3 linked regions of the Bombyx mori genome follow. The protein of the gene in region 3 binds, or shares a complex with, the protein of the main gene of each other region. Links are inferred from orthologs where the notes say so. Each region holds a gene or a part of one and is shown on either strand. Other genes may lie near its edges.

Region 1 (11,063 bases), on a different chromosome or scaffold from region 3:
TGGAAGTCAATCGTAAACAATTGTTATGTACGTATTTCATTAGAAAAATTGGTACCCGCCTGCAGGATTCGAACACTGTTGCATTGCTATATACGAATGCACAGGATGTCTTATCCTTTAGGGCATGACGTCTACATAACTACAAAAATAAAATGCATATGATGCACCATAATAATAAACTGTTTTTCACTTTCTTTTTTAGTAGTATTCTCTCTTTTAATATTTACCTTAATACTATTCAGATTGTCAACTGCTAAAATTGTTGATCTCTGATCCTCATAGCACAAAAATGCAAATCCTTTTGGTTTCCCAGTTGTTTTATCTCTTACCATGTTTATATTTACAATTTCACCATACCTTTCATAAAATAAAAAATTGATCATTACTTAGTAATAGCTGTTGGTAGAATGATTATTACACTCAGATCTAGGTCAGTGACTGACAAATGTCCATTGGCTTCATGCAATATCTGAATATCTATATATCTAAGAAACATAATTAACTAGCTCCCTATAAAAAATATATATTTTATTTCAGCAAGTAATAATGAATGTGAAAAACCTTACTGAGAAAATACACATATAACATCTCCTTCAGTCAAATCATATGGAAGTCCACCAACAAATATCCATGCACTGTCCTTATATTGATCATGCCAAGAAGTTTTTGAGCTGCTTCCTAATTCATGTTCACTAAGCTTTAAAACATTCTTCACATTTCTGTAAAAAATTAAACACTCAATGGAATATGGCCAATTTTTTTATATATTATTTGCTGATTAACAAATGAAAGTTTTTTTTATTGCCTTTGTAGACCGACAGCATATAACCCATCTGATGGCAAGTGGTTACCATTGCTCATGGACATCAGCATAGCTAGCCCAACTGGTGTTAAGTTGTTGTCTCATTGTGATGAGAACAGTGAGTCGACTATCTCAATCATGGCTTCAGTTTTTAGTAAAACAACTGATGTACCCTTTCAACTAGAGCTAGCTTCGCAGTAAAAATACCCATGGTTGTGGAACCTACATGTACAGTCTGACAAAACCACACCTCAAGTTTGTGGATATGATTTTCATTACATGATGTTATTCCTTCATTGTGAAAAACATTCATGAATATGTGTTAATATGGATTTCCTTAGAAAAATTTGAAAATTCCTGCAAGGTTTGAAAATTCATATAATAATATGTAGTTCAATAGAAGTACACTAGGTGTCTGATCCATTAGATTATAATGAGGACTGAATAAAATGACAACAGCAAAAAGTTTCGTTTGTTTTTCCTCACATCACTCATCTTCATAATATCACTTGTGTTCAATTTCAAACGGAACCCCACATTTTAAACATGGTGCAGTAAATTAATGAAACTAGTAAAATGTCTTACTCACGTCATTGGATTCATTATGACCGGCTTAACTCACGGCTCACGGTTTACGAGTTAAAATTGTTTAAAGTTTCCATAAATATTAGAAAAATCGTCAAGGTAGACGTCACAATGGGGTTGGCAACTGTCAAAGTGGCGCTGGTGTGCATTGTTCCCATAACATTCAATATTTGTATTGGAATTTTTGATTAAAAATTATTTTAAGCACAATGACGCGTTGTTTTGTACCAATATGCTCAGAAATTGGAGTACATCAATTCCCGAAGGACAAGAAAATTGGAAGACTGTGGTTAAAGGCCATTTGACGCGAAAAAAGTATTCATACAGAAAGTTCGAGGTTATGTCGTAAACACTTTGTGGAATCTGACTATGAAAACATTAGTAAATACACAGGTATGCTTCTTTCTGTCAAATATATATAATGCATGACTAGGTGTAGCACACATCATTGTTCTCTTATTAAAAAAATCCAATAATAATAAGTAGATTCATGCTGTAAGGAACCTTATAACAAACACAAAATCAGACTGGAGGAAACACATTCCTCATGAGCTGTTGTTCATTATCAGCTGTTACTATTGAAAGTTCTATCTAAATCGCTGCATCCATTGCAATAACAAATATTTTGAAACTATGGTCAGCTTTCCTTGTGATAGTATATTTAAATGTTATTCTTTGTGTTGCAGGTGTCAAACATTAACATAAATATCTGAAGAAAGGTGCTGTACCATCTATATTTTCATGGAATATGAAACCAGTTTCTGAAGAAACAAAAAGTAGAGAAGTTACTTATGTAACTTTAGAGAAGGAATTGTCAATAAAAATAATTAAAAATATTCCTGATTTTTTATTTCGACAAGTGTGTATAGTTATAATACAGATATTTTTTATACAATGCTTCTTTGAAAATATTTTCATAAAAGATATCTAATTTATTTAACATATTATTTATAAAATTATTGTCTTTTTCAACATAAATCACTTTGATGTCCTTGTAGGTGTAAATGACCAAGTTGCAGTATGTTTTGCCTGAGCAGTATAACTGTCCTTGGATTTGATAATAGTATGGGCAGGATTTTTTAGAGACAATATCCCGTTACATCGTTCTAAGTAAGGCACCGTTGATATATTTATTTCATGTTTTCTGCTAGCGTATGGACATTTCACTTCAATTATAGCTTCTTCGCCCAACACACCATCAGGAGATGCAGCAAGATATGGGCGCTCTTGGCTATTGAAAATGCCACATGGCTCCACTAGCAAATCATATATATTAGCATATTTTGCTAGAGCATTTTTTTCATTTTGTTTCATGACTTAAAGGTCTCAGTTACCAGGTCATAAAATCCCTTAAAAAAACTCTATGTCAATGTCATTCTCCATAAAATAAAAGATGTTCATTGTTTTACTTTAACTCGTTTGTTTTAAAATCCACAACAAAACTACTACCACTACTGACTATTTATTTATGTAAAATTTCTACAAATAAACGTTTTAAGTTTTACAAAAAAACTTTAGTAAATCAATATCATGGCCACTCCCACTCCTGATTCGCAAGATAACTTTGACCAGGTAAAACTATTGATTTTCCGTTGCTTGTTTATTTTTTTGTTCTTTTGTGTACATAAAAGTATTGCTTTGTAGTTTGATGAAGAAGAAGAGCAACAGTTAGGTGGAACTACATCTGGTCGTAAAAGACTTTTTAGTAAGGAATTGAGATGTATGATGTATGGATTTGGTGATGATCAAAACCCGTATACTGAAAGTGTCGATTTTTTAGAAGACTTAGTTATTGAATTTATAACAGAAACAACACATAGGTAAGATAAAAAAAAAACTTTTTTGTGTCTTGAGAAAACTTCAATATTTTTATTCTTCTTTATATTCATGTTTGTGTTTCACTCCGTATACCACATCACACCAGGTGGACTCATGAACTCATGCAATCCTAGATTTAAATAGTACAATACTAAAAATATATATAACAGGGCAATGGAAGTTGGTAGAACAGGAAGAGTCCAAGTAGAAGACATAATTTTCTTAGTTCGTAAAGATGCACGAAAGTATGCACGTGTTAAAGACCTTCTTACAATGAATGAGGAACTTAAGAAAGCTAGAAAAGCTTTTGATGAAGTAAAATATGTTGGTGAGTTGTACATTTGATTGTAAAATTTGAGTGAATTTATTCCCATTAAAAAATCCAATTCTATATTACTATCATTGTAGTGTTTCAGTTTGAGATGTTTCATCTAAAGTGTGATTATTAATGTTTGTATTGAAATGTTTTGAAATTATAGAGGACCAACAGTAACCATACTGTGGCCATACAACCGACGCCATGCTTCTAGACTGATTGATGCAAGTAACATATATTTAATTATAACACTGCTTTTGTGTTTGCACATTCACAACAACACTAATGTCATGAATGGTTGTAAATTTAATAAGATCCTGAATGTAGATGTATCTGTAATTTGTTTTGATTACTTTAAATGTATGGTAAATTATACTATATAATATAATATTTATTTACTATCAAATATATAATATTTAGTACCTACTTTTTTAAATTTTATTGTGATCACCAGTGTATTATAAACAATAAGGTTATCATTATAGTAATAGAGTTAGAAGACCTTGTGCAAACGATATTATAGAATGTTCTGTTAAGTAGTATTTGCCCAAATTGTAGCATGTGAATCTGATTGTGAAAACTAAATTCTATTTTTCTTAATGAATATGCATTTTTATTAAAAAAAAATCTCACAAATGAATCATGAAAGTATTTTCTATTACTAGCCACAATTTTTCTCATCTTTGTGGCAAAGTTCAAATACCTCCTTGGTAAATAGAAGTGTCATTTTTGAGATTATCTATGAATGAAACTAAGCTATTGTTTGATATCTGTATATGAATGGAACAACCAGCCAAGTAGATACCATCAAATGGAACAAAGAATAATCGAACAGCAAAATATTTGGGACTGTGGAGCTTAATATTATCATGCAGGAGCATCACTTTCTTGTGTCTCTGCTCATTTTGTGGGCATTTTTCATGCAGTGTAAGCATTGCATTAAGCTTCACTGCATTAATTATATTCTATATCATTCTTCAGTGGAGGTTTTGTTCAGCTCCACAGCTCTTAATATATAATGCCAACCTGATTGCACCAAATACACAGTATAACCTTCGTAAGCTGAATATTTGGCAGTGGCAATGATGTAGAAACATTAACGGGGAGTCTATCATTAGTCCTTTTCCTCCCCGTGTGTTTCATCATTGCAAAACCCTTTCTTTTGTACTGTTGGAGTAGTCGTTCACAGATGAAAAGACAATGTTCAACATCATTTGGCTTCACTTCTAAAGGGAATCAAGTGTTACCCACTAGTGGATATGCCCAATCTTGGCTTGCAACCCTTAATATCGAAACAAGCTGATCTTATGTTTGATATGAATCCTCATCGAACAATAGGTTTTCATCTTTCGCATCTGTGGAGCGACGGAACCAATCAATGCCATGTTGCTTCATTCACATTTTCTCAATGCACTTGAGCTGCTGTTTTCTTTGAATGAAAGCAATTCTTCCTGCAAATGATGCTTCATTGGCACAAAATCAGACCATAACTTATTGCTGCAATTTGGTAGGTAAGCTCCTGGGGATCAACCTACTCCTGACTGATCTCCAAATCTTGCCCCTCCTGCCTAAGTCCAACCTGGCCTGCCTTATCTTGGTGAAGCTGGAAGACATCCATGCAATGCCGCTATCAAAAAAAAAATTGCAAATAATCTGTTTAACAATAATAATTAATTTCACGTATGTTTTCACGTTTAGAAATTCATATTGCATAAGCATTTTTATTGTTTATTGTTAATTTATGTGTTACTTTTGCACTTTGGTATTTGAAAGTTGTGTTTTGGCAAGAGATAGCAGCTTGAACAGTTAGCATGTTAGGATATGAGAATTTGTGTACTAATGAAATGAATGTCTAATATTTACATCTTGTACTACTTTATAGGTACTCTAACCCTAGATATATCACATAAAACTGTTTGGCTTGATAAAGAAATTAAAGCACTACTATCTGTAGAATGTTTTTTAAGAGAAAACAACAGGATTAGCAATTGTAGCATAATAGTATTTGTGTTGCTAATGGGAAATATATGTGTTGTGTTCAAAATTGTATGTTAAATAATTGCAAATTTGTTTCCACCAACAAGGTTTGTTGGTGGGGGAGTAATTTATTGTTAATAAATTGAGTAATAGGCTAATTATGCATTTAAAATTTCAGAATGAATACCAAAAACATAATTGGACCTGATAAAAGTAATACCAATTTGGGACTTTGGAGAGCAGTGAAATGAAAAATGAATTAACTATTTGATATTATGAATTTATTAAGCTAGTAAGGTAATAAGTAATAAAACTTACTGACAAATATCCTTGTTTGTTTTTCTTCAGAGTAGTATTAGAATATTTAGTAATGTTTGTTAAATATAATAATAAAATAAAAAAGATTGTGTTTTTTGCTCTATGACTTATCTAAAAAAAAATATTTATTTTTTAGACAATTTTTTTTATGATACAGCATACAAAAATACATACAACCCTAAATTTTCACCCCTCTACGATCAACCCTTATTTTTTATTTGTTAATACTGTTCGGGAAAACTTACTTTTGGACCAGATGACGTGTAAGACCTTGATTAGGCCCTGATTAAAAAAAGGAACTAATATATATTATCATGTACAGGGACTGTTCTAAGTTCTTTAACAAAAAAATTCAAATTGAAAGAAAATCATACTTGATTAATATGTAAACTTTATTTGTGCGCAAATACAGTAAACACTAAATAAACAATACTAGAAATTAAAGTTAGTGGCAAAGAAAATTTAAAAAATTAAATTTTCTGTATTAAATTTATGCAATATATTATTATTCTAATGATTAAATAAAATAACAATTTTACATACATCCTTTTAGGTTAATATTTGTCTATAATATGTTGGTAGGTACAATAATAACTTGATATTATATGAAGTTTTTTTTGTCAACAATCTATAAACATATTAATTTTAAAAATACAATGTTCCACCAAGTAGGTTGTAATAAATATTTTAACAATGTTTCACAATAGAGGCGACTAGACTTGATGTTCAATAAAACATCAAAAGTCCATACTTTGGTTTTTTTCATAACAGATTTTAAACATTTCATATTATAAATAGGCCGTCTATGGCAGTTAGTACAATATAAATAGGTTAGTTCTAAATTTATTAACCTAAGATACTTTCTAAGCTCGGGCTGATAAATTATTGTTTAAATATCATTAAATGGAATGACATTGCAATCTTAATTTGTAAAAGTTACATAATATCAATTTCATCGTGAACTTTCTTTGCCGATCTAAAGAAATTAGAACAGGAAGACATTACTTTTGAGCGTAAAATTAGTTGAATGGATTGGAACAGCAATCTGTTGGTAAATCACCAGTATTTTTCTCTGTTTCTTTTACAAAAAAATCTCAACAAGTCTGCCTATAATCTGCATGTAAATATTATAGTAAACATGTACATCTAGTAAATATATTTTATCTATGACATCAGGATATATATTTTAGCTTATTATTATCACTTGATGTGATTCATCTTATGGCAGACATCCAAGGCAACTATAGTTTCTCCATACTTGTACTTCCATATATGTTTTAAATTAATTATTTTTATCAACTTATCATATCAATGTCAAGTTTCAGTGCTATAGTGTGCTGTGCTATAAAGCATTCACGTAAATATATTGACCACACAATACAATTGTAATTAAGAACCTTCAATTATTAAACCCAACTGAAACTCCCTTGGCAGTGATCTATCATCTGTTGAAACTACCCGTGCGCCACCTGTTGTACCCTGATGGTACTATAACAAATCTCTGAACTACCTATCATATATTGTAACTATACTGAGACCTTAGAACTTATATCTCAAGGTGGGTGGCGCATTTACGTTGTAGATGTCTATGGGTTCCAGTAACCACTTAACATCAGGTGGGCTGTGAGCTCGTCCACTCGTATATGCAATAAAAAAAAAAATATATATTCAATTTCACTTAAAATCACATCAACAATTTAGAAATGCCTAGAGAACAAATTTACAAAGAAACATTTGTTGTTATAGAGGTGGCTTTAGTAAATCTGTATCAAGCACATTTTTTTGTTATCTGTGTTCTAAAATATTTAACATAAGACTGAAAATTGTAAATAAATAATTGTTGAAGGTATGTATTTAATAACGAGTTAATTTTAAATAAGTTTAAGATTTCTTTCATCTATATCTTGAGAATAACTTTGAACACGTTATTTAGAATATAGCGTAAGATATTGTGTGGTAATTCATTTTGTGATTTCTAGTCGTTTGATAAGAAAATTATTCAGAAGGAGGTGGGTCTATTGCGCAGATTATGGCTTTCATGACTGCAGCAGCGCATAGTGCAGCGTGGGGCTGCCAGTCCTTCCCACGGGTGCCGTCGCGATAGTCCGATATACCTGAAATACATAAATATCAATTAATTTAAATTGCAATTATAGTAATCCGTTTCAGTCAATTATGACCAAGGCCTTCTAGAATGGAACGCCACAAGACGTCATTGACGTATTGTCTATACTAATATTTTAAAGCTGAAGAGTTTGTTTGATTGAACGCGCTAATCTCAGGAACTACTGGTCCGATTTGAAAAATTCTTTCAGTGTTACATAGCTCATTTATTCAGGAAGGCTATAGGCTAACGGTAAGACAATACAAGTGGAGTACCAATAAAGAATGTTTCAAAATAGGGGTTTAAATAGCTCCTTAATATTCTATAATTCAAAAATATTTTCACTTTTTACGTAAATGAAGTGGGAGGTAAAATTTAGCGTTATGCCAAAGTAACTATTCCACGCGAACGAAGTCGCGGGCAAAAGCTAGTATTTAATAAAGTTTAGTGTATTAATCATAAATAAACAACGTCTTTTAAATTTATTACGTACCAATTTATCTCTTAACTGTATCAGATATACAAACTTATTTTCAAGAAACAAATAGATGTAACGGAAGATATCAATGTGCTTAGTACGAGTTTTTTAATGTTATCGATAGCGTAAAAGTTAACTCAAATTTTATGGAGTTGGAACGTTTACCTACGTTTGCCACTAGGGGCGCTGTCGCTATCGAGAACGTTAAAAACTTGCACTGAGCGCACTGATTGGTGCTGAATAATGAGAATGACAACTGACCTCGCAGCGATATGAAGCAGTCCTTGCAGTTGCCGACGACGCTGTCGAGCACGGCGTCGAGCTCGCAGTCGTAGGCGAGCGCGCGCGTGTGGGCGGCGAAGGCGGCCCGCCCCTCGCCCGCCGCCGATACCACGCGCCCGCCCGCCACGGGCGCGCACGTCACGCGCAACCCGTCCCGCGTGTCACTGAACAAACCAAATGAGGCCTATAAAATCAAAGCAGCTAAATCCAATTCTGTCAAATATTCAGGTAAACTACAAAAATCGGCCCTAAACACGTCATTACGGATCCTCCTGATCCATCGAAGTACTGCTCTTGCTAGGGCCAGTGTTAGCAACACTCCCGGTTTGAGAAACTGAAATAACTTTGTTCGGGTAGCTACGATATTCTTTATTTTAAAGCAGATTTATAAAGAATGAGAATATTAGTAATAATCTGAATTTTAAATGATTAAACTTCGTTTATATTTGTGTACAAAGTAAAAGTAAAATTTTTGACCTGAATTGGCTAGAAATTTAGCTGCATTTCTTATAACATGAAAATACTAAAGCGGGTCCAACTAACTAAACAAGATGGCGCCATAGTTAATCCATTTTACTACATTTTAAGGCGTTTAGCTGCCTTTGATTTTATAGGCCTCAAATAAACCTTTCATCCAGTATTTAAAGTAGAAAAAAAAATAGTGTCAGTGACGTCAGCGGGGTATTCCGGGACACCTGCGGCACCGTCTGGGCGGCCTGACGGGCTGCCGTACCGTCGACGGCCGTCGTTTCAGAGCCTTCGATTCGCCTCGAAGGCTCCGTCGACCGGGGGTCCTTGGGATGAGCCGCGCCGTCTGGTTGTAGTGTTGATAGCGGTAACCCCCTTACCACATCCGGGTTCCGACCTCGGAGGAGATCGGACGCTTGGGCGAAGACTGCAGGGGAGTCGTTAAGTGGGTAGGGCCCTGAAAACATCCTTGGGCCCGTGTTAGTGACGTTTGATACTACGGAATTGGGACGCGATCTCCGATATTTGTGAAAGATATTTGGCATTCGAAATCTGGGTTTATTTCTTCGAGTCCGGTATGTATCTCAGACATACATAACCAAGGATTGTTTTTATTTTAAGCGGTAGAATAGCATTTTCAGATTTTTTTTTATAAAATCTGTGCTCTTTAGAGACACTTCCTTTGCTCGAAATCATGGATTGATGATATTCATTCAGTATTTTGAGGTATGATTTTCGGAATTGATACAAAATTTTACTTTATTTTTACTTTAGTTTGTGAATTTTGACGTTGATTGAAATTAAATATAAAAAGTATATTTTTTCGCTTGTGCAAAAACTATGTTGTCAACAGCGGCACACCAATATCGATATTCTCAGAGCAGAACGTCTAATCTAGAATGATTGATTACATAGAGAGAGAGACAGAGATAATCAAGAGAGAGAGAGAGAGAGAAAAAAAGAGAATATTCTATTGTACACCAACAAAATAAACAATGCGACACATTAAATACAAAAAAAGGACAATTGGCTTGTACAGCCAATTACAAACAAAATATATAATATTCGGTGAGTTTTAGTTTTATTACATAAACAAACTTACATAAACGTTAAAAAGCGTCAAATACTCTTTTTTTTTCTACCTAAGCTGATAGCCTTGAGAGGCTATATCAGCATCGCCTTAACTAGTAAGTGAGCTCATGGGGCTCAACACGAACCCTAGCAAGAGCCGTGCTTCGCGAATCTACCGCCGGATCGGAAACGCGACCCACTGAGAAGATCCGGCGAGAAACTGTGGGCTGTGTCTGAGGGTTAATTTACTCGTCGAGCCCTTCGTCGCAAGCGATGGGTTCGACGAGAACGATGACCGATGCTTGAGGTACCTAAAAGCACCGTTAGTGGATCGGGTCGAACCGAAATGACGTGTTTGGGGCGACGTCGACTGCTTTCCATTCTGTCTGCAGGATCGGGAATGCAAATACTCTATTACCACAATATAGTATGAGTAAATAGTACATACGTTTGATCTCCTTGTGGCGCTGGATGTGATACTTCAATGTAAGCTCCATTGCCGACTTCGACGCACAACCTGTCGGTGTTGCTCTCCGGGGGCTCCCATCGTCCCGGGACTCCTCTGAGACGATCGAGTCCTGAAAACATTAATTAAAATGAGTACTGGCTTTACTCTCACACACACAATCCACTGAGTTTCTCGGCGCATCTTCGCAGTGGCTCGTGATTCCGATCCAATTTTAGATTGAGCGAAGCACTGTTCTTGCTACGGCAGATATCAGCAGTCTCTCAGGTTGTGAACGCTTGAGCTCTCTACCCTATTGTTGAAACCTGAATAGTCACTAACGGCTAATGGTAATTTGATATGTAAAAGGCTTTGTTTATCAGATTTCCTTTTTTTTAT
Region 2 (10,767 bases), on a different chromosome or scaffold from region 3:
TTTATTACAAAATTATCACATGTTTTATTCGGCCGTTAAATAAGCCATTGAAAGTTCTTGTCAGTTCTTACTTATTAAATTAATAAAAATTAAATGGTAATTTCCAAAAAAAAACAATTAAGGCAATCCAAGCATGACACAATAAATACATTTAATAAATTTTTCTAGACAATTACTGGTATTTTAGGCGTATTTTAAGCCCGCACGGGTAAGTAGGGGCTTGCCTATTTCTACGGCAATATGAGCTCATATCTCAAAATGGCTGGCGGCATTCACAATGTGATGCAATCGGGCTTCAATAATCACTTAACATCAGATGGGCCGTGTTCTCAACTACGCATCAATGCAATAAAAAAAGCTCATATGATTTACGTATCGACAGCATCAGAATATGAAACTTTATTAAACATTTACTAAAATACTAAATACCGATTTGTAACGTCGTACCATAATACGTTCCAGCTGATTGTTAATTAAAATACCATTAATGACTGATACGTATTTTATAAGTGAAACGCAACGTATCTATAATAGCCGGCAAACTTCTTGAGCATTTGTCGACGTAGTGGGGGTAAGTTCGCGCATGGTACACTCACGTGCAAAAACATTATTTATTCTGCGTCATAATGCTATTAAATTATTAATATCAACATAATTATTATGTATTTATTTATATATTTATTAAAACATCAACAAAAAATATAGGTTAATAATTGTAATAATTTGATCTTGGGGTAAAATAGATATTCCTTCTATTAAGTCAAAACTAGAGCTGTTGCCAGGTCTTCGTTCAGTTGAAGCGAAGCTGGTACTTGTAATTTTTTTTTCGTTATCATAATCTTGACCATCATCATCCTTCTCCTGTTTTAAAATGAAGCAATATACGTCGTACACAATTTTTCTACCCTTTCTTTTGATTACTACACCAGTTTGTCGCGGCATAGTGTATTTTTTATAAAAAATCAACAAACACTCAACATATAGAAATGGCAACAAAGTCAACAAGCAATTATAACAAATAACTTAACAATTAATAACGATAGACTTTTCACTGTACGCAAGCGTACTTTTGGGAGCAAGCGGAAAGAGGGCGCGGTGCGGGACGCAAGGTTCGACTGATCTACCAATAACGCGCTCGATACGATTTCCCCTGCCGTCGCGCCTCACCCTCACCACCAAAGTGATCTAAAATTCGGTTCTGCGCAGTCAAGGTCATTTGCTCAAGAAGTTTGCCGGTTACTATACTTAATTTAATTACTACTTAAATGACGGAGTATTGCTTGTGAAATGTCTATCCGATGATTTGCAAACGAAGTAAATTGCCCCTTCGTAATAAGGTGACATTTTACCAAACTTGTCATAACCTATGCAAGTGTAGGGTTCGCTCAAGCGGCCCGCACTAATTTGAAACCCTTTCAAGTCATTCAATCCTGATTTTGCAGGATAGCCGTCGGAGCACCATGGTTCATGAGGAACGTGGATCTCCATGATGATCTGGAGCTTGACTCCAACAATAGGTAGGTATCTTCAGTCGGCACCAGTGCCACTTTGAGAAGGCGGCGCGACACGAAAACCTTCATGTGGCCGCCGGAAATTACATACCCGATCCAATGGACCGAATGGTAAACAGTCAACGTCACCCTAATCACGTTATTACGGATCTTCCCGATCCATTAACGGTGCTTTTAGGTACCTCAAGCACCAGTCACCGTCCTCGCCGAACCCGTCGCTTGCGACGAAGGGCTCGACTAATAAATTAACCCATAGACACAGCCCACAGAGTTTCTCGCCGGATCTGCTCAGTGGGTCGCGTTTCCGATCTGGTGGTAGATTCTGGGAATTCGATTCGATTCTATCTGCATAGTTAAGAAAAAAAAGCTGTATTTTATCTGTCTCATCTTTCAAAGCGGAACGCTTGGTTGCTTCGTGGCAACCAAGTGGCAAATGTAGGCATTAAAGTGGTAACTGTCTTAATGGGCTTACAATACGTCCTACCAGTAAAACATTGTATTAAAGCGATTAGTTAAGTTGGAAATTTGAGTTCATTTCACATATTAGTGTTGCAATTCACTACCAACATTGTTTTATGAGCCAAATTCGACTGCAGCGCCATCTAGTTGCTAGTCCCGAAGATTTCTAGAGAAACAATGCGTGTCGTGAAAAATACCTAATATTTGTAATTGAACTATATGAATATAGTCTTTTACAAAAAAAAAAGTTTTGGTATTAGACGTGCTGTTCTAAATGAGTGAGCGGAGATCATTTGCGAGTGGGTGGTACTTATATGATGTGTATGCACTACGCTATCCTCAACACTAAAAGAGCCGTGAGCATTCGCATCTATAGAGCTGTAAAAATAAAATAAAACGAAAAGCACAGGACGGTGGTATCAGAAATGTACATGTTGATAATACGAGAAACTACCCGGTCCCGGAAGTCTTAGACAATGTTGCAATGTACTAATGTTAACGATCGTAAAAATTGTTCACAAACCTATGGGATCGACTTGCGGAACAGATTAAGTCACGTTGTCTTGCAGTATTTCAGGCTGAGTCCTGTGAACTCGCCCACGAGTTATAGGGAAGCCAGAATAAGCCAATGGCAGATAGGTAGACAAAAGCTAGGAGTTCGAGGACTTAACCTGAGAGAATTTGCTAGTGCTACCTCTATCAAGATCGGATCGGAATCGCGACCAAATGAGAAGGTCCGGCGAGAAACTCAGTGGGTTGTATCTGGGCTAATTCGCTCGTCGAACTCTTCGTCGTAATGATCGATTCCGACGAGGACGTTGCTTGAGGGGCCTAAAAGCACGGTGAGTGGATTCAGATGATTTAACAAGACATGTTTCGGGTGAGGACGTCTTTGCGTTGCCGTGTTATCGTGTCGGACTGCTTTGTCAAAGTAGTAGGGACCTTAAGACGTTATCAGTGTGCTTAGTGCGAGTTTTTTAACGTTCTCGATAGCGTAAAAGTGAAGCCGTGTGCAGTTGGAACAGCGCCCCTAGCGGCAAACGTACGCAAACGTTCCCGTTCCGTACAAATACGAGGTAACTTTTACGCTATCGAGAACGTTAAAAAACTCGCACTAAGCACACTGAGGTGATCACAGGCTATTACGTATGGAGGTAGAAATGTGAAAGAGATGATTCCGCGGATTGACTCACAAAACGTTAATAGAACATGTTACAATTAAATAAATAAATAGCGTGTTTTTGTACTTTTTCATAACTGTTAAAAGTTTACATACAAAGAACCAAGAGCATAATATATTATAATTTCAATATGTATAGAATGTTTTAGATACATTTTTGTCACGGTTGGATCATTATGCTTAGTAAGTTTCTTAACTTCTCGTGCCCCATACGTTTGCCGCTAGGGGCGCTGTTCCAGCTTCATACATATTTGAGTTAACTTTTACGCGGTCGAGAACTTTAGAAACTCGCACTGAGCTCACTGGTCAAGCCTCTAAGCGACTGCCGCAAATATACAAAATGACCAAATGTGTTGAAGCAACTTGAGTCACTGTTCGTTGATGATATTAAGTTAGAAACCATGCAAGAACTGAAAATTATACTATAATTTCAACATTTCAACACGTAAAAGACAAATACAAATTCCACTACAAAATATGAATCTCTTCTTCACACACTGAATGAGCCCACAAGTAAATTGAAGGTTACAAATTGCCCAGTCGATAAATATTTTGACTCAGCTTCATCAAACACGTTAAAATACATAAATAATTTAGAAAAAGTAAACTTCAAAAAAGTTGACTCAAATTTTATATTTCATACATATCTTTGACAATATGGTAGGTGAATTGTGGACGAAAGAATAAAAGGGTTTAGATTGTTTAATAAATTAAATTACAAGACCACACAGCAAAGATCACATCAGGCCTCGTTATAATAATCACACAGAAGTTCGGAATTATCATTTGCAATTTTTGCGTTCCCATACCCCGAACGTCTTACCGTACACAAAACCGTGATTATGGGTTTAAATAATGTACTACATTACGAGAACCAATACATTTAATTGGCCATGGCTGAAATAAAACAAATACATTGGCCCCCCTCCCTTCAGCCAGATGTCGCAAGTAAGCAAGCCGTGTGAAGTATCCGCACTGGATAACGAATTTGTTTTGGCGCCAAAATCACACGATCGTCCTTGCCTTGTACAAAACGAAAGTAAAACAACAGAAATAAACAGGGTTATATTAAAATCATAATATGAAAATATTCAAATATCAGCTGAAAATGCATCCAGCCTTCTTCTGTTTATTAAATATTCACTACATTACTTTATACATCACCAATTTCTTAAGTAAATTCAGTTTTTGTACAATATAAAAAGAATCTTATATTATCATCTATGTATACATACCTACACGCGAGATGTGTATAACGCGCTCGCGTAAGTTAATCTTGATCTAACCGAGCGAAAGAAAATAAACGAGAAATCGTAACAAAATATTTAGAATTATTGGTAAAATTATTACAAGTAACTACACTATATTTTATGTTCAACATTTTATGTCAATATTCAATTATTATCTATACTTAATCGAGCCTATGATATAACATTATAAATGATGAAAACATTTTTCTTCGTGATATTATTCAACAATTAATCCATTAACAACTCTCATCCATTCACTCTTGCCTATCGAAAGGATATTAAAACTAATCTCAGTAACAACATAAGGTCCGTATTAATGACAGTCTCTGATTTTTTCCCCTTTGGGTTTCCGGCCTCTTTTCTTGCCGGAAGTGACGCCGGCGAGCGCCATCGCGGCGCGCTTCGCGATACACGACTTGCAGAACCAGTCCTCCGTGGCGCCCGGCTCCTCCGTGATGCCCACGCACACCCAGTGGTACCAGCCATCGCATCCGTCGCAGCCGATCATCGGCGAACCGTTGTCCGGTCTGCCGCACGCCGGACAAACCCATATTTTGTTGCCCTGTTCATCAACATAATAAGGGGTAGGGAGGGGTTCGAGCTTAGTGTCGGGGGGCGGGGCGGGGGCGGGTGCCGGCGCCACGGCCGGTTCCTCAGACAACGTTGCGATTTCGTCTTCAAAGTGCTCGTGGCCCTTCTTCGCCAACGGCTTGAACAATATCCTTTTGTATTTCGAATGACTCGAGGGCGTGCCCTTCTCGGGCGGTGAGCTGCCCGAGGGGGGCGGCGAGGGCTGAGGCTCTCCGTCTGCGAGGTGATTGTGTTTAGAATGTTTTTGTTTGGGTGGTCTAGTAACGAGAGCCGAAATCTGAGCTAACTCAGGCGAACGACTGTGCTCCCTGGACAAAGGTTCGTCTTTTACTGGACTGTCCTCTTCTTCTTTCTTCACTACAGGTTTTATATTTAATTTGAAAGTATCGGGCGAGCTTGGTGGCATAGGTGAATTAGAATTTGAAGAACTTATTTTCAACGTCAATTTCGGAACAAGACCATCGCCAATTTTATCTTTTTTCTTCTCTTTCTTTTCTTTTTTTATTTTATCTTTTAATTCTTGTTTTTCTTCTTTATCGCGCTTTTTCTCAGACTTATCTTTGTTTTTGTCCTTTTTATCTTTCTTCTTTTTAATTTTTACACCATCTTTGTCTTTCTTTTCTTTTTTATGGGATTTATCCTTCTTTTTATCTGTGTTTTCGGTGTCTTTTTCTAGAATAGAATCCGGTGTAGCCATCCTGACGGGAGGCATTTCCCTTACCGGTTCAGATTCAGGATCAGGCTTGGAGATAGGCACACGTGGAGGTATTGGTGGCGTAGGTCCTACAGGCCTGGCTGGAGCAGACACACGAGCTTGATTGAGTGCATCCCGGGGTGGCTCATGATGTCTAATACCTTCTGATTTCGGAGGATTCAGTTCAATTGTTATGTCTGGTTGTACAAGAGGCATTTTGAACAAATTAGCCTTGTGATCCTTATGCGACTTAGACTTGTGTTTCTGTAATATATTTGGAATGGTCTGAGATTTGTGCTTATCGTGGCGGTCCTTTTCACGATTCATTGAAGACTTATGAATACCTCTGTCCTCATCATTTTCTACTGCTATTACCTCCAAACTCGGTCGACGGAGCATTGGTGGTATTTTAACGGAAGAAGATCTCGATGATTGGGCAAAATTTCCCATAGGCATCAGAGGAGAATTCAAGCCTCCAGGTAAGAAACTAGGACCAGGAATGAGACCAGGACCACTGGTTCCCAAAGCAAATGGATTGTTTAATAAATTACAGGGTGGCATACCTCTTAGTGCTGGATTGTTTGCTAGACCAGTGAAGAATTCACTTCCTGGTATCAATCCAGGGTTCGGGATGAGACCAGGGCCGGGCATAAGACCTCTTCCAGGTGGCATTGTATGAAAAAATGGAAAACCAGCTGGCATTTGTGGCAATTTTGATTCATTTTTCTGTCTACTGATTTTATGTTGTTTCATTCCAGCCAATTTCATACTTTGCTTTTCAGCTTGTGCCATTTCATAGGCTAATTGTTGTTGTTGCTTCTTCAACAATTTAGCTTCTAATTTTGCTGCTTTATCTTTCTTGTCTTTGTGTTTTTTCTCTTTTTTAACTTTAGGACTAACACTCGGTAGATCTTTGGGAAAAGGGGTTTGTAAGGACTTGTTGATTGATATATTAGGTTTAGATTCCAGTAGTTGTCTTTGCTGTGGTGTAGGGTTTCTGTCCAAAGAATCCTCATCAATATTAATCACTTCATTACTTCTTAAATCCATCACTTTAGACAAATCTACAGCACTATCGTCATTATTGTTCACAATTTGGTCTATCACTTCAGATTTCATTCTTGCATTTTCATTTGACTTATGAACTGAATTTTGATGTGATGCATTTTGCAACCTTGAAATAGTAGCATCAAGATTTACTTTATCATTTACAACCTCTGGAGTAGTCTTATCTTCTTTTGATTTGTTCGTTATTCTCTTAAATATATTAATCTTTGATTTATCAGGTTGAGAGGCCAATTTCTCATCTTCATCTAAAACTTCTCTCTTTATTTCAGTGTGAGGAATGAGAGAATTACTCATAGACTGCTGTTTAGGTGTGGTGATGGAATTAGATACTAGAGGAGATAATGAGATTGGAATTTTTCTAGGGACCGGTATTGCATCTTCAACAGAAAGCCTTCTGGATATTGGTGACGGAGGATCCAATGGTTCCTGTTTTATGACAGGTTTTACTGGCTCTGGAATAGGCACCAGTGCAGGAGGAGGTGCCATCTTTGCTCTTGAAGGAGGAGGTGGAGGGGCAGCTTCAGGCGCTGGCATAGTTATATGATTATGGTGTCTGGGCTGCACATCCTTACTTTTTACAGGATAACCAGGAGGAAATTTATTTAATTTATTACTGTCCTTATTTTTACCACTTTCACTCTTATGTTTATCTTTTCTTTTACTCTTCATAATTTTACCATTAGGTAATTTATTTTTCTTAGATTTCTTATCAACTTTTTCTAAAATTGGAGGTTTAGTTACATTTGTATGAGAATTAACTTTGTGCTTTTCAAAGTGCTTTTCTGCTATAATTGTAGGAGGACGGGCTTCGGGAAGTTTACCTTCACGGGCTGGTGACAGAAAACCAGACATGGTCATCATCACACTACTTATTTCTCTCGTTCTCTCCTCTTCCTCTAAGCGTAACCGTGGCCTTTTACTATTAGGTAAAGAAACAGGATCAATTGGTCTCTTAAAAATTTCCTTTGATTTCTCAGGACTGTCTGTGACAGATATTTCTGGACTTGTACATATGGTATTATTGCTAGTGACATTATCAATACCATTTTGATGTATTTCAATAGTGCCTGCAACAGCCGGTGTGTCTCTCTCTTTCTCTGGATACATAGGAGGCAGATGCTCATGCACGTGCATGGGCCTTGTGACAACTTCATGACTTCCTGGTTTTAAGAAGTTTAAGTTCGATTCTTTCGGTTTTGGGAATTTAACAGAGTTTACTGGAGGTGGAACAGGAGGTACACAACGCACATATTCAGCAAGCTCCGGCAAATTCACATTAAGGTCACGGAATACTAATCCTAAGTCATGTAAATTTGGTTCAGTCCTATTAAATTGTTCAGCATGCCTACTGGCTTGGATGCCAAGGGTTTTGATATATTTCTCCAGTACATGTACCAAAATGTCAAGTGGCGTTGAGTTTATGCCGTTCCATCCTATAGTTTGGCATATTTGCGCAACATTCCTCCGTAGTATCTCGCGGGCGTACGCCTCTGACATTATGACACCAACAACGTTATCTGGAACAAATGTTTATATCGGTATTATAAACATAAATCAGCATAATTCAAATGGCGTCGAAGCGAAGAAATGCTGTACAAGCATTTTCGATCACAGAGAATCATATTACAAGCCGTCAAAGTGGTAAAACAAGGAAACTCGTGATTTTTATACCTGCAAGTGTCCAGTAGTACAGAGACGTGGTTCTGAACTGCTGAAATTCTCAAGTTTTGTACATACATGTATGCTTAACTATGATTATATAAAGTCAAGGGTAATTTATAAAAACACACAAATCGATGGCAATATAAATTAACGAAGTGTTTACGTAAAAACTTCTCAGCATTCTAAAAACACAGTACCCCGTGCGCCATGATTGCATTTTGGGTTGTCAATGTCGAGTGTTGCTATTTGAAAATAAACAAATGGCGGTCTTCTTATGGCAGCGTTCAATGATACTAGTGATAGACTAAAATTGATTACAGGGAGCATTTGCTTTGCGACTTTATTCAAAGATGTTTTATTTATAGTTTCTTTTTAATTCATTTCCTTTCAATTAGTTTATTTTTGTTTAAATCAAATAAATAATTAAAAAAAAATTAAGCTACCGTAATCCTCATAATCGGTTAAGCTTGGGTGATCTTTAACACAGATATTCCAGATTTCAAACTATTCAACATGGGCGTGCCGGATAGTCTCGTGCTCATCATACGGGACTTCTTGTCAAACCGCTCTTTTCGATATCGAGTCGAGGGAACCCGCTCCTCCCCACGACCTCTCACAGCTGGAGTCCCGCAAGGCTCTGTCCTCTCACCCCTCCTATTTAGCTTATTCGTCAACGATATTCCCCGGTCGCCGCCGACCCATTTAGCTTTATTCGCCGACGACACGACTGTTTACTATTCTAGTAGAAATAAGTCCCTAATCGCAAAGAAGCTTCAGAGCGCAGCCCTAGCCCTAGTACAGTGGTTCCGAAAATGGCGCATAGACATCAACCCAGCGAAAAGTACAGCGGTGCTATTTCAGAGGGGAAGCTCCACACGGATTTCCTCCCGGATTAGGAGGAGGAATCTCACACCCCCGATTACTCTCTTTAGACAACCCATACCCTGGGCCAGGAAGGTCAAGTACCTGGGCGTTACCCTGGATGCATCGATGACATTCCGCCCGCATATAAAATCAGTCCGTGACCGTGCCGCGTTTATTCTCGGTAGACTCTACCCCATGATCTGTAAGCGGAGTAAAATGTCCCTTCGGAACAAGGTGACACTTTACAAAACTTGCATAAGGCCCGTCATGACTTACGCGAGTGTGGTGTTCGCTCACGCGGCCCGCACACACATAGACACCCTCCAATCCCTACAATCCCGCTTTTGCAGGTTAGCTGTCGGGGCTCCGTGGTTCGTGAGGAACGTTGACCTACACGACGACCTGGGCCTCGAATCAATTCGGAAATACATGAAGTCAGCGTCGGAACGATACTTCGATAAGGCTATGCGTCATGATAATCGCCTTATCGTAGCCGCCGTTGACTACTCCCCGAATCCTGATCATGCAGGAGCCAGTCACCGTCGACGCCCTAGACACGTCCTTACGGATCCATCAGATCCAATAACCTTTGCATTAGATGCCTTCAGCTCTAATACTAGGGGCAGGCTTAGGGACCCCGGTAACCGTACTCGTCGAACTCGACAAAGAGGTCGACGTGCAACCTAACCCATGCATCAGCCCGCTGAGTTTCTCGCCGGATCTTCTCAGCGGGTCGCGATTCCGATCCGGTAGTAGATTCATTCGCGAAACAATTGCTCTTGAGTTGTTAGGTCTCCTTCGGAGGCGCTCGGGCAGTTGTTAGCAAATCCCACCCCTCTTGGCTGAACCTTTGCTCGCCCACCTGTCCTGGTGAAACTGGAAAGGCCTTCGGGCCACCAGTAAACTTTCAATCATAAAAAAAAAAAAAGATATTCCAGAAAACTAATGTCTCTTCTTTTTCTTGCCCTTATTCCACATTATATGAGGTCAGCGCAGTGTGTCCTTTTATTATGCTGTATAGGGATTTGGCATGAGTTTTACGATGCTGGAAACGCTATTGTTATGTCAACGACAGCATAGTATTCCCAACATAGTCAGAAGAAGTCCGAAATTTGTCTTTTATGACACCCACGGATAGATATGGGTCGATCCAACTCTATGTCGGAAACCGATATTGAAAGATAATTTTGATTACATGCATGTTTAATGTATAGTTAATTATGGAAACATTGATGGGGATTGGTGGTGACCTTCAGACAACATCTACAACGTAAATGCCACCACCCACCTTGAGATATGAGTTCTCAGATCTCAGTATAGTAAAGTATAGTTACAACAGTTGCCACATTCTTCGAACGCCGAACCAAAACGCATTACTGCTTCACGGCAGAAATAGGCAGGGTGGTGGTACCTGCCCGTGTAGACTCACAAGGGGTCCTACCATCAGTAATTGCGCAAATTATAGTTTTGCGGGATTTGATTTTTATT
Region 3 (10,779 bases):
AAATGTGCTCATGGGTGGTTATGATAAAGAAAATGGACCTGAACTGTATTTTATGGACTATTTAGCATCAAGCGTGAAGGTACCATTTGCAGCTCATGGTTATGGTGGATATCTAAGTTTGAGTATTATGGATCGTTACCATAAAAAAGGTTAGTAGTTAATAATATTTGTTTATATTTCAACATCTGTAAAAATATTTTATAAATTTAATAATGTATTAATCAAGTGGCAACTCAAAATAAAAACATTATTCATTTCAGATGCTACAGAAACAGAGGCATATGACATCCTTAAGAAGTGTGTTCAAGAAGTTCACAAAAGATTGTTTGTTAGTCTCCCCAATTTCCAAGTGACTGTTGTAAACCGTGATGGGATTAAAGTGCTGCCCACCATTAATTCTGCATCTCTTCAATAATTTTCACTTTTTTGTATGGAAAATAAACTTTTAAATGAATAAATTTTATGAGTAAGATGACTAGTGATCAAATTCATTTAACATCATAATATTATTCATACTGCAAGCTGGTATATCTTTGATGGTTGTTTTTTCTAACTGGTAATTACTATGGCTTAATTATAATAATAGGCTTATATGTATTTCAAAATTGTGTTGTTATATTTTAAGAAGTAGAATATTTTCTCTTAGTAGTAGCCTAAGAGATAATTACTACTTTAGGTAGCAGCTGTTTGATGGTGCACCTGAGTGCCAGACTATCAGCAACTTACCACCAAGTGGTTCGTAAACTCAACTGCCCACCATGGCAATAAAAAAAATTTACTACTCATGTGGGTAGACATGGGTAGAGATCCAAGCAGCGTGGGTCAGAACCTTTAGGATAGTTACAGACTACTCTTGATAACTTCTTTATCTTCCAATATGATAGAGCAGGTTCTTAGCACCAGACTCCTACATTACGTTGGAGATTGGCAGCTGATGTCATGATTAAAGTCATGGCTGTTCAGTGGGCATCCTTTGTGTGTACCATTCTCCAGAATCTCCAAGGAACTGAAAAAAGCCAATTGCTGTTCCGATGCCAGGACTTTTAACACGGGTGTTCCATTAAGTGCACTGCAGTCTCCCCCACGCTTTTCATCCTGCATATCAATGTCATGCGATCCATCGAGAACTTTTAAGGCGAATATCTAAATGAGATGAATTCAATTTAGTGACCTTTAAAAATTCATTGAAAGAATATTTGTCATGTCGCCGCAATTTAGAATTTGCACGAATACTGTAAAAATAAAACTTGCGCGAGAGTAATGCATACTCTTGCTTCTCACGTAATAAGCATGTTTATAGCATTACGTCTTATCTATTACTATTTCAATGAGATAATTTTTTTTTGTTGCTTTGATGGGTGGACGAGCTCACAGCCCATCTGGTGTTAAGTGGTTACTGGAGCCCATAGACATCTACAACGTAAATGCGCCGCCCACCTTGAGATATAAGTTGTAAGGTCTATGTCTGACCTAGCGTGGGGTAGGGTTCCCAACTCTGGGCGGGTCTCCCAACTACTAGTTGCTTTCATTTAACTCCTTGCAAAAGACGGCCGTTTGGATTGTCTTTTTTTTTTTTCCTACCTAAGCTGGTAGCCTAGAGAGGCTATTCCAGCGTAACCTTAACTAGTAGGTGAGCTCACGGGGCTCAAGCCTGTTGACGATGCTAACACGAACCCTAGCAAGAGTCGTGCTTCGCAGAATCTACCACCGGATCGGAATCGCGACCCACTGAGAAGATCCGGCGAGAAACTCAGTGGGCTCTGTCTGAGGGTTAATTTACTCGTCGAGCCCTTCGTCGCAAGCGACGGGTTCGACGAGAACGGTGACGGGTGCTTGAAGTACCTAGAAGCACCGTTAGTGGATCAGGAGGATCCGAGATGACGTGTTTTGGGCGACGTCGACTGTTTTCCATTCTGTCCGCTGGATCGGGAATGTAGTTACCGGCGGCCACGATGAGAGGGTTCTCGTGTCGTGCCGCTTTATCGAAGTGGTTGGATTGTCGATAATCTCATCACGTTCTCATGGATAATTTAGAACCTTGGAGTTTGAACTACGAAGGGACTTCGGTTCTCTTTGTTTTGTAACATGATCCATGGGGAGTTCTCTGGGGAATTGCTAAAGGTAGTTTGCCGAATGCCACACAATCTCGACTCTTATCCGTTCAATTATCAGATATCCGTTTTCAGAGATCATTTTTATCACGTAGTATTAGTAGGTAGGGTCGACTTTGAAATTCCCTCCGCGGTATTTTCCGGGCGCTATATGTCTTTTTTTGTTTGAAAATAATCTTATGTGGCAGGCAACGGTTCAGCTATGCGTTACTGATGCATATATGTGTATCGGTAAGCACCCCCATTAGGCAGAGTGTATGCTCGTCTACCTCCTAACGCAATAAAAATATTTGCGTCTGTTCTAGAATATTTGTTTACGAAGATCATCTACTTAATTACCTATCTAACCCGTTATCTACAACAAATCAATTAACTAAACAAAAAACCCGACTGTATCAAAAATACTAATTAAAATGCGAAAGATATACACTAAAATATTAGTAAAAAAAAATCTGATTTAATTTATACACAAATATTTTTTTACGATTTATCAACGTTGATGTTTCCTTATTGTTTCCATAATGATCTATGGAATACTATGGATGGATATAATAATCCTTTAGGTATGTTCGGTTCGAAGGTATTATTCTCATATATTAATGAAGAACGAAGAGAAAAAACAATCAATGTACTTATAAATGAGTCGTCTATTATCAAAGGTGGCAATCTGTGCATTTGGACAAAAAAATGTTATTGATATGTCAATACAGATTGATTTGAATATAATCGTCTCCTTCAAAGAATACGGTTCAAAACCTGCATTAAATAAAGGTTAATACTTAACCTGTTATTTATCTAAGATGTCGTTCAGAAGAGTTTTGTGACTGCCAATGGAATACAAAGTCAATAATTCGTTTTTCTGATTTACCAATAATTTTCCAAAAGTCACATTGCCGGCTTTGCTATTAGTCGACTCAAATATACTTGAATTTTAAAACAAATTTAAATTACTATCTAAATAATTAATCTATCCACCAGATTTATTTCTCTCTGGACTGGATGTTAATGCACTTTCTTGATTTTCAGATTGTGAAATATTTGCATTATCATTGTCAGCGCCATTTTCGCCTTCATTGTCTGATTGATCTGAAAAAGGATATAGATTATATAAAGTTCTAAATCCACTATAAATTCAAACTAATTATAAACAACAAATTCAATTTGAGAATACTTCAAACTTGTGACTATTGGGCCGAGCATATTTTACACACTGGATTGTAATTTAATGTTTTACTAGAGGTCCCGCAGTAGTCGAAATTCGACTATAATTAATTGGAATTGTATGTTTGTACAATATTATGATTGTATTTTATACTTCTATAATCACAAATTTCGCCAAGGTTACACTATAAAAAAAAATTATAAAGACAAACAATATTTAATCTATTCTCAATTTGACCACAGACGTCAAGAACAAAAGTTTGACAATAAATAGTATGCAGTGCGTCAAATACATGATATTATTATGTAGTGTGTGTAATGTTTTCTTTATTGATTTAATGTATCTTTTATGCATTATTTTAAAAAAATATTAGCATTGTGCACTTCTTCTCTATATTCTGTATAAGTGTGGAAAATTTCATACTCCTCCGTCCAGGCAATTTTCGTAAAAAGGGATACAAAGTTTTTGCTTCACATATTAATATATAGATTATACCTTTTTTATCAGCAGGCAAGTCTTCAGTTCTGTTAGCGACTTGAAAATGATATTCTAATTCATCAAAATCAAAGACTTGGTCCGTTGGTAAAAGACAGGGCAAATAAGCTGGAAACGTAGGCTTACAGGCGATTACTGAAACATGTGAGATTAATCACATTATGTATAGATTTTGATTAACTTCAATATAGATTTTAATTTTTTTTATACATTTCAGCTTCAGTTTAAGGTGATACCATACTCACAATTATGAAATAAAAGAACTTCTACTAAAATTCTTCATAAAATACTGTTTTCTACTATATAAAGTACAAGGCCCCCTAGTGTTAAGTGGTTACCAAAATCTCTAAAGATCACAATGTGAATGCCACCCACTCTTTGAGACATAAGGTTGAAATCTCGATAATATATTTTTAATAACTGTTCTATCGTTCAAACCAAAACACATCACCCCTTCTTGTCAGAAAAAGGATGCATGGTAGTAGCTGCCTATGTGTTGCATTTTTTTATAAATGTTATTCTTTTATCCTGGAAGAAGTTTTATGAACATATATTACACATGCATTTCTTTTTATCACATGAGTGACATGGTCATGAGATGTTAACAGTCTATTAATATCTCTATAAAGAGAAATATTCCTAATACAAAATGAAAGGAGTTTATTCATACATGGAAAAACCTGATTGTCTTCTGTATTAAATAAATTATGGGTTTCACTTGTCTTTGCTAAGAATTTAGTCAAAGCACGTTCAATGTCTCTTTTTTGGGTTGCTGCCTTCTCTCGAATGGCTTCATATTCAGTTACTGGTTGCTTGTGAGTCTGTAATTAAAAAAAAAACAACGAATTAGTTCGATTTAGAAGTCACAAACTTTATTTATTCAAGAATATACATATTGGCAGAAGGTTTTTTGCTTCATAAAAAATGATAAACATCAAAACTGATCACAATGAAGTCATCGTGGCCTAAAGGATAAGAAGTCCGGTGCATTAGTATCCAGTAATGCACTGGTGTTCAAAGCACGCTGGCAAGTACAAATTTTTCTAATGAAATACATACTAAACAAATGTTCTCAATTGACTTCCACTGTGAAAGAATAACATCGTGTAATAAAAATGAAACCCGTAAAATTATAATTCGCGTAATTATGGTGGTAGGACCTCTTGTGAGTCCGCACAGGTAGGTACCACCATCCTGCCTACTTCTGGCGTGAAGCAGTAATGTATTTTGGTTGGAAGAGTGGGGTACCCGTTGTAACTATACTGAGACCTTGGAACTCATATCTCAAGGTGGGTGACAGCATTTACGTTGTAGATGTCTATGGGCTCCGGTAACCACTTAACACCAGATGGGCGAAAATGTCGTCCACAAACCTAAGCAATAAAAAAAACATAAAAAACTTTTAATTTCTATTTTGCTGCAAAATACTAAGCATCACCTCAAAAGTCCCCAATGATTTATTTAATCATTTTGTTTTATATCCTTCGCTTTGTATTTTGATTAAAACTAAACAAAAAATCATTCAACTACCTACTTATTATTTAGTATAACATTTGTGGTTAAAGGTTTATACTCACAGGTGTTCTGATGTATGCATGTGGATCTGGTAATGGAGGCAAATGAAAAGGTATATGTGGTGCTGGTTTAGCTTTAGAGCCAGCTGACAACATAGCTGGGGTGCGAGGTGCAGGAGCTTGCTGAGGAGGTTGAATTACATGCCGATTTGGACGAGCAGCATATTGTTCAATACCCTGTAAGCTTATACCTAAAAAAAAAATTGATGATTAACAAGCACTCAGTAAAGTTTCTCATTTTTTATTAATCTATTCATAACCATGAAAACTAACATTTATGAATATTACTATTCAGAGAAAAAATTTGGAAACTTCATCACTTTTTTATTTACAAATGAGTCGTCTATTATCAAAGGTGGCAATCTGTGCATTTGGACAATTTTTTTTTATTGATATGTCAATACAGATTGATTTGAATATAATCGTCTCCTTCAAAGAATACGGTTCAAAACCTGCATTAAATAAAGGTTAATAGTTAACCTGTTATTTATCTAAGATGTCGTTCCGAAGAGTTTTGTGACTGCCGATGGAATACAAAGTCAATAATTCGTTTTTCTGATTTACCAATCATTGTCCAAAAGTCAGATTGCCGCCTTTGATAATAGACGACTCAAATATAACAGGTTTCCTTTCCCATTTTCAAATATAAAATGCAAATACTGAACTTTATAAATAAAGTTTATATTATAAAAATTATAAATAAAGTTTTGTTTTATTTATACCCATGTTAATAAGTGCCATTACAACATCACCCAACACTGGCTCCACCCGTCCAGATAGCTCACAAAATCCTTTCGCCGAATTCCCAACTTCTGCAAAAACTAAAACAATCCATTAATATAACAGTGTAATTGGTATTATATTTTACATAAAAATAAATTATGTTTTTGAACTTTGCTCCTAGCAGTGAATGAGCTAGTTAACATAAGCATATTGATTTTTTTAATAAATGCACCACAATATCTATTAAGTAAATTCACTTTGTTTGCAAATTCCAATTTCCTGGTATGAAGTTCTTGTAATGAGTAGTAAATTTTTATTTCTGTGAAATATGTACCTGATTTGTTACTTTAAAGAAAATTTCTGGTCTTTTATTGGTGGAAATATATAAATACAATTATATAAATACACTTGGCACTAAACTGTAATGAAAAAGACGTCTATTGGTAAAACGTTATTTTAAGATATTGTTTTACGTACAACATTGAAGCATTTCAGTCAAAGTTTCCAACGAAACTTTATCAGCAGCATCGAAACCGGTCTCCAATAATACCGTAGAAACTGCAATGTTTAAGATACGTCGACGAGCATCAGATGTAGTTTCAGTTTTTTCTGACATCTCGGACATTTTACTGCTCTTTAGATAATTTTAATTGGCTTATCGAACTATGTACTACTTTTTTTACTGTAATTATCTCATAAATAATACACTTAATGTAATTATAATATTATTTGCTTTACTTCGCTTCGTCAACAAAACATATCCATAAACTTTTTTTTTTGGTACAATTTTTCCTTATTATGTAAGGCAAGGGGATCTAAGCCCATACTCCTTAGTAGTTTAATTTTTACAAATGGAAAGGCAAAGAAATAACACCAACCGGCCTAATCTTTTTTTTATGAATTATGAAATGAAATGAAGCTGACTAATTTAATATGAAAGATGTCATGCCATTCCATCTCTGACATGAAATGAATTGAAATGAGGTGAGATGATATGATATGGGATATTTTTATGAAAAATGATAATATGGAGTGAAATGAAATGAAGAATTTGAGACATTAATCAACTGGGATGAAATTAAATGAAATGAGATGAGATCATATGGGATGAAATATAATCTCAGTAAAATGGTGGTCGTTTACTGAGATTTTTTCAGTGGGCTTTTTGGAGGATCCCAAGAAGTTATGTACAACGGTTTTGTTTCATTTTCCCACATTTGTGCACTTTCACAGATAATAAGCAGTTAATAAACCACCGTTATTACACATTTAAAATTGAAGAAACACTAAATAGACAAAATAAAACAAATCGCACAACTTGACACCTCTCGTTCCCGCCAAAAAGTCCCTACCTATCCATAAACTTTTTTTGGTACAATTTTTCTTTATTAGAAAAGGCAAGGGGATCTAAGCCCATAGCGCCTTGTCTGTTCTATCAAGTTGTATCATCCTTATCTATTCAACAAGTATATTATCTATGATAGAGTTCTTTGTTTTAATTGTTCATAAGACAGGCAAAGAGGTTTAAAGCCTTTAATTAAATAAACACAAAATTCACAAAAAAAGAAATATGAAATGGCACAAGTGTGAAGTTGTAAAGTCATCGTGGCCTAAAGGATAAGACGTCCAGTGCATTCAACGGCGGATCCAGCTTTGGCGCCAGGAGGGGGTCACATAGTCGTGGTCAAGTCAAGAACTTATAATTTAATTTTGATAACAATAGATACAAGTAAAAAGTAGGTATTTTAATAATGTTCGTAAATAGGTGGTACGACTAGGGTTTCCAACAAACAAAATAGAAACAAACAAAATACATATATTTAAATAACAAAATCAATTTTTCTTTAACGTCTTTTATGTCTTCTTCGTATTCGTCTATGACTGCTCTCGTCTCTACTTCCGAATCCGAAGTGATTAAAGGGATTAAATCACTAAAAATAGAGAAAAGTCCAGGCCCCGACAGGATCACCAACGAAACCATAAAGCTCGGATGCGCGTATCTAGCAAAACCACTAACTCGACTATTTAATCAGATACTGAACAGCTCGTATACACCTCGTCAATGGTCAGAGTCTGATATCATCTTACTGTACAAAAAAGGAGACCCTAATAATATAAGTAATTACAGACCGATAAGCTTACTACCTTCACTATATAAACTGTTCTCTTCAATAATAGAGAAAAAAATAAAAGAAAGCACAGAGAAATACCAACCCATCGAACAGGCAGGCTTCAGAAGAGGCTTTTCAACACTGGACCACGTATATACACTCGCTAGAAATGCTGATAGAAAAATACCAAGAGTTCAACAGACCACTCTACATTGTCTTTATCGATTACCAAAAAGCATTTGATTCTCTGCTCCACTCATCTATATGGGAAACTCTGCTCTCTCAACAAGTACCACTAGATTACATAAAAGTCCTAAAAAATATTTACGACAACAGCACTAGCAGAGTGAAGCTGGAAACTACAGGGCCACCCATACAAATAAGAAAAGGCGTACGACAGGGAGACCCACTCTCGCCGACCATCTTCATAGCGGTGCTAGAGTCCATCATTGGCAAGTTAAACTGGGAAAGAGTTGGCATAAATATAAATGGATGTTACTTGAGCCATTTGAGATTTGCCGACGACATAGCCCTGCTATCAGAAAGTATTAACCAACTGCAAATAATGATAAACACTCTACATGAAGAAAGTCGTAAAGTAGGCTTGGAGATCAATCTAACAAAAACCAATATCATGACGAACCATATCGAAAGACCGATATATCTTGAAAATTCTTCTTTAGCATATGTCGGTGCTTACATTTATCTGGGTAAGCAAGTTTCATTCAACCAACAAAATAATGAATTGGAAGTGGAGAGAAGGATCAACAACACATGGAAAAAGTTCTGGAGTCTCAAAGAAATACTCAAAAGCGATATGACCATACGGATGAAAACGAAAGTCATGAACACCTGCCTACTACCCTCATTAACATACGCCTGTCAAACATGGAAATTTACCAGAAAAGTAAAAAATAAAATTATATCCTGTCAAAGGAGCATGGAAAGAAGCATCTTGAAAATTAAGAAAATCCAAAGGATCCGCCATACGACTATAAGACAGAAAACAAAAGCCATCGACGCTCTCAGCTATTCACAAAAGCTGGAATGGCGTTGGGCTGGACATGTAGCGAGGCTCAGCGACAACCGCTGGACCGCAAAGACAACATCATGGCGTGGTCCACTAGGACAGAGGAAAAGAGGTAGACCAATTACACGATGGGCAGATGACATCATAAAAGTAGCAGGTGTACAATGGCCGCGAGTGGCAGAGAATAGAGAGTACTGGTCATCTCTGGAGGAGGCCTTCACCTTTCATTGAGAGGGTTCTTGCTAACATAAATAAACCCTGACTAATTTAACCAATTAAATCATTATTTAGTACTTTTCAATGTAAAAATTATTCCAAATGTTATGTATATTATTTCTTAAAATAAGAACACAATTCAATACTTCTTATCACTCATAACATGTACATAATCAAAAAATCATAATCAAGATTAAATTAAAAATTATTTCGTTTTTATTTAAAATATTGGATAATAAATTTAAAAATGTGAATGATTTTGCAGGCATATTAATAGTGTAAATTTTTTTTGGTATGAAAAGCAAGAAATAAAAGGCTTTTTTATTTTTTTATTTTTATTTTATTTTTTATTTATGTCTTCTTAGGTCTAGCTAGACGTTACGTAGTCGAAAAGCGCGCGCAAGTGTGACGCGGTAAAATTCAAATTTTCGTTCGTTCCCAAACCTTGGCTATCATACAAAGTGATTACATTAAATAAATTAAATATTGAAGGTATGACAAAATATATAAATAAAATCATGAATCAAAAAAATATGTTCAATTAGTGGTCCACCTAAGTCCTGAAACCAGCTCGGGGGGGGAGGGGGGTCATGACCCCTATGATCCTCCCCCGCCCTGGATCCGCCGTTGGGTGCATTCGTATCTAGCGATGCAACGGTGCTCGAATCCCGCAGGCGAGTACCAATTTTTCTAATGGTATACGTACTTAACAAATGTTCACGGTTGACTTCCACGGTGAAGGAATAACATCGTGTAGTAAAAATCAAACCCAAAAATTTATTATTTGCATAATTACTGATGGTAGGACCTCTTGTGAGTCCGTTCGGGTAGGTACCACCACCTTGCCTATTTCTGTCGTGAAGCAATAATGCGTTTCGGTTTGAAAGGTAGGGCAGCCGTTGTAACCCTAATACTGAGACCGTAGAACTTATATCTTAAGGTGAGTACGTTGTATGGGCTCCAGTAATCACTCAACACCAGGTGGGCTGTAAGCTCGTCCAGACATCCAAACAATAAAAAAAAATTGTTTCTCCCATATTCCGGCACCCAAATTCATAAAATGAAAAATCAGCGGCTCCCTTTCAGCGGACGCCTTTTTTTACGTCAGGATGGTATTCCTTGCTTCTATCCTCTATATAAAAAAATAGAGTTTTAAATAATAAGTGTAGGTTCTATGTATGGAGGGTAGAACTAGTTCTATGGAGCAGAGAAATTAGTGTATTAAATATCAGGCATTTTGGCGGGAACGTGAGCAGTGAAGTTGTGTGATTTGTTTTATTTTGTCTATTTATATCATATCTCATCTCATTTCAATTCATTTAATTTAATTTCATTTTATGCCATGCCATGCCATGCC

What was found.
Region 1: transcription initiation factor TFIID subunit 8 (region 3) and Taf13 share a complex: the UniProt entries of both Homo sapiens proteins name them as parts of the TFIID basal transcription factor complex. The link is inferred for Bombyx mori from reciprocal best matches to the Homo sapiens genes TAF8 and TAF13.
Region 2: transcription initiation factor TFIID subunit 8 (region 3) and transcription initiation factor TFIID subunit 3 share a complex: the UniProt entries of both Homo sapiens proteins name them as parts of the TFIID basal transcription factor complex. The link is inferred for Bombyx mori from reciprocal best matches to the Homo sapiens genes TAF8 and TAF3.

What each region holds. Positions count from the first base shown.
Region 1 is NC_085115.1:8,091,760-8,102,822, forward strand, and holds Taf13 (TBP-associated factor 13), read left to right. Parts: upstream 1-2,789; 5' UTR 2,790-2,917; coding exon 2,918-2,959; intron 2,960-3,031; coding exon 3,032-3,207; intron 3,208-3,375; coding exon 3,376-3,533; coding exon of another isoform or gene 3,534-3,550; exon of another isoform or gene 3,551-3,684; coding exon 3,685-3,698; 3' UTR 3,699-3,745; exon of another isoform or gene 3,746-5,676; coding exon of another isoform or gene 5,677-5,681; 3' UTR 5,682-5,825; downstream 5,826-11,063. Other genes in the region: uncharacterized protein LOC101745370, read right to left, coding at 7,812-7,930, 8,660-8,844, 10,668-10,797. UniProt on the Homo sapiens protein: The TFIID basal transcription factor complex plays a major role in the initiation of RNA polymerase II (Pol II)-dependent transcription.
Region 2 is NC_085113.1:3,411,336-3,422,102, forward strand, and holds transcription initiation factor TFIID subunit 3, read right to left. Parts: upstream 8,711-10,767; 5' UTR 8,425-8,710; intron 8,271-8,424; 5' UTR 8,251-8,270; coding exon 4,714-8,250; 3' UTR 3,769-4,713; downstream 1-3,768. UniProt on the Homo sapiens protein: The TFIID basal transcription factor complex plays a major role in the initiation of RNA polymerase II (Pol II)-dependent transcription.
Region 3 is NC_085124.1:7,744,774-7,755,552, reverse strand, and holds transcription initiation factor TFIID subunit 8, read right to left. Parts: upstream 6,863-10,779; 5' UTR 6,691-6,862; coding exon 6,543-6,690; intron 6,164-6,542; coding exon 6,065-6,163; intron 5,534-6,064; coding exon 5,346-5,533; intron 4,590-5,345; coding exon 4,439-4,589; intron 3,904-4,438; coding exon 3,769-3,903; intron 3,198-3,768; coding exon 3,079-3,197; 3' UTR 2,547-3,078; downstream 1-2,546. Other genes in the region: proteasome subunit beta type-2, read left to right, coding at 1-149, 261-415. UniProt on the Homo sapiens protein: The TFIID basal transcription factor complex plays a major role in the initiation of RNA polymerase II (Pol II)-dependent transcription.